Linked DNA regions of Oryzias latipes. The protein of the gene in region 2 binds, or shares a complex with, the protein of the main gene of each other region. Links are inferred from orthologs where the notes say so. Each region holds a gene or a part of one and is shown on either strand. Other genes may lie near its edges.

The links.
Region 1: WD40 repeat-containing protein SMU1 (region 2) and zmat2 share a complex: the UniProt entries of both Homo sapiens proteins name them as parts of the spliceosome B complex. The link is inferred for Oryzias latipes from reciprocal best matches to the Homo sapiens genes SMU1 and ZMAT2.

What each region holds. Positions count from the first base shown.
Region 1 is NC_019872.2:3,288,057-3,291,997, forward strand, and holds the start of zmat2 (zinc finger matrin-type protein 2), read right to left. Parts: upstream 2,802-3,941; 5' UTR 2,731-2,801; coding exon 2,713-2,730; intron 1,325-2,712; coding exon 1,225-1,324; intron 1,140-1,224; coding exon 1,016-1,139; intron 891-1,015; coding exon 817-890; intron 1-816. UniProt on the Homo sapiens protein: Involved in pre-mRNA splicing as a component of the spliceosome.
Region 2 is NC_019868.2:28,095,262-28,098,324, reverse strand, and holds the end of WD40 repeat-containing protein SMU1, read right to left. Parts: coding exon 2,957-3,063; intron 2,886-2,956; coding exon 2,759-2,885; intron 2,679-2,758; coding exon 2,511-2,678; intron 2,437-2,510; coding exon 2,284-2,436; intron 1,102-2,283; coding exon 1,003-1,101; 3' UTR 514-1,002; downstream 1-513. UniProt on the Homo sapiens protein: Involved in pre-mRNA splicing as a component of the spliceosome. Regulates alternative splicing of the HSPG2 pre-mRNA. Required for normal accumulation of IK.

The DNA of each region.
Region 1 (3,941 bases), on a different chromosome or scaffold from region 2:
ACTAAGATCAACCTCTACCAGAGTATGGAGAAGGAAAGGAACTGCTCATGATCCTAAGCATACCACCTCATCAGTGAAGCATGGTGGTGGTATTGTCATGGCGTGGGCATGTATGCCTGCTAATGGAACTGTTCTCTTCTATCTATTGATGATGTGAACGCTGACAAAAGCAGTAGGATGAATTCTGAAGGCTTTTGGGCTCATGATCAGCCAAATGCTTCAGTGGACGGCGCTTCACAGTGCAGATGGACCATGACCCAAAGCAAACTGCAACCGCAACTAAAGGCCTTCTTAAGGGAAAGAAGTGGAATGTTATGCAATGTTTCACTTGCTGAAGACAAAACTGAAGGTAAAATGCCCCAACAACAAGCAGGAACTGAAGACCGATGCATTGGAGGCCTGGCAGAGCATCACCAGGGATGAAACCCAGCGTCTGGAGATGTCTGTGAGTTCCAGACTTCATGCTGGAATTGACTGCAAAGGATTTGCAACCAAGTATTAAAAAGTAAATGTCTGATTTATGATTATTGTTCTGACCATTACTTTTGGTTCCTTAACAAGTGGGAGGCACAGATGCAAACTGTTGTAATTCCTACACAGTTCACCTGATCTGGATGGAAATACCCACAAATTAAAGCTGACAGTCTGCAGTTAAAGCACATCTTGTTCGTTTTATTTCAAATCCATTTTGGTGGCATATAGAGTCAAACATGTTGGAATTGTGTCGCTGTCCCATTATTTATGGACCTGACTGTATAAAATGATCCACGTTACATCTGCGCTCTTGGCCCCTCCCTAAAGCACAGGTGTACTTACGTTTCTTGCCGTTGATGTGATCCAGAAAGTTGATGGAGTCTTTGACCACACAGTCACAAACATTGCAGTAATATCTGAAAAAAAAAATATGTCGGAACCAGAACCCAGACCTGTCCGTTTCTGCTCCACAACTTTTTCTTATTGGTTCAAAGAGTTTCAGTTTTCCATTTTTCCAAACCCAAAGCCGTCAGGAACTCACCCGCCCATCTCCGCCTGAGGGGTGGTCTTGGTGATGACAATAGTTTTCCCCAGTTTGGACTCCAGATCCACTTTGTAGTCTCTGTGCCGCAGGAGCTCCCGCTTGACGGGAGGGACAGGTTTTCCTGAAAGAGCCAACAGGTCATGCGTCAGGGGTGATAAGCGATTGACCCCCAAGGGTCCCCAAAGAACGGAGAGCGCTGCCCTCACCATCCCTGAGCTCCCGCTCGCGCTCCTCGTTCAGCCGCTTCTGAGCGAGATTCTCGTACTCGTCCTTGTCCCATTTCCGCCGGAAGTCGTTCTTGCTGGACTGGAAGACACGAGAAGATGACTCAGAGCGCCTCGATTATCTTCACATCTCAACAAACATTCAGCTGATGAAGACGAGGAGCTTTTACTCCTCCTGACAAAAGAGCAACAGCTTCTCAACTCAACTTCATTGATAAAACTCTAAAACAGAACCACAGAGACACAACAACAGAGAAGGAACAAAAGCAGGAAAGCCTCATGCTTCGTCAGAAGAATGTTTAAATGCAGACGGTGAAGATGCCTGTTGGACTGTCAGAGCTGACGCCTTGTGCACCTTCCAAGCTCAAACAGGAGGAGCTGGCTCTTCCCAGAGGTTCCTCCTGGATCTCTGTCCCTCCAGGGAAAGATATGAGCTTAACCGAGATTCCAAAAGCTCAGAGAGGTATGGATGAACGCACAAATCATGGGGAACGTGTGACCCATGATTTATGCGTGAGCCATGCTGCTGCTCGTATTTAATGGTGTTTGGGAAAAGGGCTGTTCCTACTCCGTGACCCGAGATAAGGGGAGGGCTCAGGCCGAACATCCAGCTGACGGGAAGCATCCATGTTGGATAAACAGATGAGTCCAAAGAGATCCTTCATAATGAACATTAGATTTTTCAGAAATCTCCGTTCAACAGCCTGATCCTGGCTGCAGCTGCAGCCTGAAACTGATCAGCTCTCCAAATGCATGGTGCCGTCAGGCTCCAGGGGGATACGCCTGCTGGTGGAGCTGTGCTTACAGGACAGGAAACCCTAAGTCACTCTAGACCAGTGTTTTTCAACCTTTTTTGAGCCACGGCACACTTTAACCCTGAAAAAGATCCCGCGGCACACCAGCATCCAAAAAAAAAAAAAAAAAGCAGAAATTCATGGTCTGTATTGATCGACAGCTCTTCCCTTTCATTCATATTATCAAAGTAAACATTTTCAACAGGGGTGGGTTTATAAATTTTATAATATAGCAACAGAAACATTGTTTCATATTTGCAAAAACCAAAAAGGACATTATCCTTATTATTACAGTTTCATTTATTATCATCACAGTCGGCTTTACGAAATAAACTTCAAGAGCTTTTATTTTGCCACACCGGAATTCGTTACACCTTTGAATTAGTCCTTTAAAGATAAAAACTAACGGCGGTTGAGTCAAAACGTTTTTGGTACTAATTTTTTTTTTTTTTAAAAAGGGCCGTAAAATTCTGCAAATAAAGTACCCAAGCGTCAGAGCGAGTTAGCCGCTGCTAGTCCGAGGCCGCGCTTCTAACGGCAGCAGCTGATGTCTGTAACGGTTACAGTCAAAACGCCTCCACGGTACCAAATATAAAGTGAAGAATTTTAATCTTGTTTATTGAATTAAACTGTATTACAACAAACAGGGGCAGAGAAATTCTGCTTGGAAACTCACCCCACTGCCGGACGCCATCTTGTTTACCTACGGAAAATACGTCACCGGATGTTGCAGCTCGTCATTGCTAGTTTCCTGTCTAAATTTAGTTCTATCGGTAGAGGAGACATCACGTGATTCCTCAAGGGGGGAGAGCATCGCCATCTTGGTGAGGTCAAATTACTGCTGTAGTGCATGCATGTGAACACATTTCTTGCAAAATACCAGTTCATTTTTCGGGTTTCAACTGCCAAAATCAGAGAAATGAGTCCACGAAGGAGGAAGGCATAACATTTCACAGGTAAGTATTATATATTTTTTTCTTTTAATGCTGCAGGGGCATCATTAATCATACACATGTTTTCATGCATGATGCTGCAGGGCGATTATCAACATGTAGGCATGATGTACGTATAATTTGCTGTCGATATAAATGTAAACTTTATTGTGTTAAACCTGTATACATTATACTAGGCTATTATAGTAATAGAGATTTATACATTTCTGACTCAGTGACTGAAATTTTATTGCAGGTTTCCAATGGATTCAGACTTAAGGAAAAAGTGGGCCTTAGCAATAAAAAGAGCTAACCCAGATGGATCACTGTGGTACCAACTAGTAATACAGTCTGGCTATGTTCAAAACAATTTGAGGAAACAGATTTTGATGAGACTGGCCAGACTGTTAGCTTGAAACCCGACACTAAACCAACTGTGTCACACAAATTTATCACTAACATGAATCAGGAGGTAAATCTATTTCTTTTCTTTGTTTTTTTAAAGGGGAAAATCTGTTGTTGACTTTTGGACTTTTTGTTGACTTATTATTGATTTATTATTATCATTTATTATTATTTACCTATTATTGATTTATTTTTATCATTCAATATTATTATTGACTTACTATTGATTTATTATTATTATTATTTATTGATTCATTATTATTATTATTATTATTATTATTATTATTATTATTATTATTATTATTATTATTATTATTATTGACTTATTTATATATTGTTATTAATTATTATTATTATTGACTTATTATTTATATTTGTTATTTATTATTATTATTGACTTATTATTTATATATTGTTATTATTTATTATTATTATTGACTTATTGTTGGGCTTTTCTAAATAATTTCAATTACATGTCAAAGAGGTCTAAAACTTGGAAATGTTTAAAAATTAAAAACAATGCATTTTTCATTAAAGTTTGAACTTTTAAAGCTGACTGTTTCTCTTA
Region 2 (3,063 bases):
CATTTCAACTAAATTTGGAGTCAAATCGACCAGAACGTATAAATCTACAAAATCCACTGAAGGAGAACAAAATTATGAATTTAAATCAAAATGATAACATGCAGATTAAATGCAATTTGCTAAATATATATATATATATATATATATAATAGATAAAATATACACTTAAATGTTAAAGGTTAACATCTAAAAAGTAGGTTGTTTCTTTTAACAGCACATCCATAAATGCTATAACTGTTTTGATCTGACTTCCTTTGAACAGGATCTTATGTCAGGCTTTTATTTTGAAAGTCGTGCGAGCAGCCCCCTTGCCTTCCTGTCAGACTGGACACTCTTCCTCCTGAACTGCAGTTTATTTAAACATGAAACCCAGCCGGCGCGCTTCGTCGCTGAAGCTCCTGTAACAGAAAAACCACAAACGACCAGAAAACCTTCAAAGCAGATAAATAAAAACGTTAATATTAGAATACTTACTTCCGTCCTTCAGGATTAAATTCAACACCACAGCAACCATTCTGGTTAAACAGCTTTAATGGTGAAATGGACACATGTTACAGGAGACATTTGTAACTCCACCACGCCGCTGTGACCCTTAAAGCTCAAGTGGAATCATCAAAAATCTTAAGTTCTGTTTGAGCAGCCTCTTATTTTGGCGAGACTTTCAGCTTCTGCACAAACAGACCAGAGCGTCGGCTGTTTAACCAGGTATTCTTGAAAAAACAACTAAAAAGTATTTACAAAAGAGTGGAAATGTGAAAAAAATGTGTCTTGAACGCACCACTTCCTATCCGAGCCTCTTCTTACACTTTTTCTCTGACGTTTACATTTTCTGAGTCTGACGGATAAAAGAATCAAAACGGACACCGGGGGGGGGTCTGACTGATGCCGGGGAACTCGTGCTTTCCTGCAGGTGTGATCCTGAAAGTCCAGAAAACACAGAGGAACGATAGGCTGGGGGCCAGAGAAGCTGCTGAGGGTCCGGCCGTCTCCGTGGACGAGGCTTCAAGGCTTCCAGAGCTTCAGCAGGCCGTCCTCGCTGTACGTGCCGATCAGGTTCTGGTGGGGGTGGTGGGCGATGCCGATCACATCCTTTTCGTGGACCTGGAGGAGAACAGAGAGCAGCTGAGTCTGCAGCCTGAGGGCGAAGATGAAGCTTGTTCCGTCTGTGGAAACGCCCTTCAAAAGTCGGGATTTGAACCCTAGAAGGTGACCAAAGCACCGGCGAGTTGGTTTTCAGGGATGTGGGAAGGACGCAGACCCGGCATTGGTCAGGTTTTTCCTCAAGGTTTCAAAAATGGTTTTTAGTTTTGACATTTTATGGTTTAAAATTTTTTTTTTATATATAATAAGAGTTATGACACACGAGTCCTTCAAATTGAATAGTTTGAAAATGCGTACTTTCACTTTAAAGCCACAAAAAAAAAAAAAAAAAAAAACCACCGTCCTCGTTTGTGATGCTGAGGTCGTTTGGAGCCAATAGAGACCAGAGAACTCAAAGACAAACACTTATTTCACCCCAAACTCTGCAACAGCTACGAGAAATGTTTATCCGTTTTTCCGTGCGAGTCAGAATAATGTGATAAATCTACTGAGGCGTTTTGATGAATTACAGGATTTACAAAGATTATAGTTCGGATTGTTCGACCTCTGGTCTTGTCTGCTTTTTTGTGCGTTTGAGTTCCGGCCCCCGCTCAGCTGCTGACTCCACCTGGAGGAGCAGAGCAGCGGTGTGCGACATCTAAAACGGTTCCTTATCTGTTATTGTGTATGTTGTTTTGACCTTGATTTAGATTCTGAGGGGGATTTGCACAGATTTCTCTCATCTCTATACGTTTGATCGGCGTTATAAAACCTAAATTGTCCTAAAAAAAGGAAAGTCACAAAATGATTGATTGATGAAGCAAAGTCACAAGAACTTCTTTAGAGGGTAAATTATTATTATTGCAAACTAGTAAAAAAAAAGAAGAGAAGCTCAAAAAATCCCAGGACTACTGAGGGATAAAACAGCAATGCATTGTGGGTCTTGGTGCTCTTGCGTGAGCGGAGAGCTGCAACAGTTAGTGCCGACGCAGGTTTGTTATCCAGATGAATTAAACCAAACTGCTGCAGCTTAAGAGGTTTTATTTCTCTAAACAAACACAGCTGAGGAAGAGGAACACAATCATTTCTTTTTAAAACCTTTGGGTATAATTTAGCATCATGTTTGTTCATATTCTGGGATCAACATCTGACTGAATGTTTCCCTGACCCGGGTTGTGTGCGTTTTCTGAGGCGGATCGGTACCGTGAGCGTTCTCTCCAGTTTGCCCGTCACCGTGCTGAAGCAGTAAAGCACAAAGTCTTCGCCCACGCAGTAGATCCACTCGCCGCGCGGCGACAGCGTGCAGCACACGAAGTCTCCGCCCTCCCTCTTTCCGGAGCTGAAGCTCCTCACGATCTGCGCAGAGAGGAGGAGGAGGCGTGAGCCGGGCGTCAGCGAAGGCTCTGGAAGGCGTGGCGTGCGGCGCTCACCTGTCCCTGCATGTTCATGATGACCACCGTGTTGGAGCGGTTACAAACCACGAAGTGCTCCGGGTTCTTGGGCAGCAGGAGGACGTTGTTGACCGTGATGTCGGTGCCGGCGGACGTGCCCAGAGGTTTGAAGGTGCTGCTGCACTCGGTGGTCTTCACGTTCCACAGCTGACGCCACCGACGGGAGGAGAAGAAATGTGAGACAGAGCCGCCAAAGGCGCCGGCGGGGAGCGCCGCCGTCCTCTCACCTTCACCGTGCCGTCAGACGAGGCGCTGATGACGTGATGGCCGTCCGGCGTGAAGGTGGCCTCGTTGACGAAGGACGTGTGACCCCGAAACTCCTTCAGAGTTTTGCCAGACTTCAACCCGTGGATCCTGCAGGAAAACAAGCAGCAGGTGGTCATTCGAGGGCGTGGCCAGAAGGAGTGACGGCGACGAGCGCTCACCTGATGGTCTGGTCGAAGGAGGCGCTCAGCAGCTGGCTGCTGTCCTTACAGAAACTCACGCAGGTCACGCCTTTGCTGTGAGCGCGCTCAAACCTACGCAGGCACTG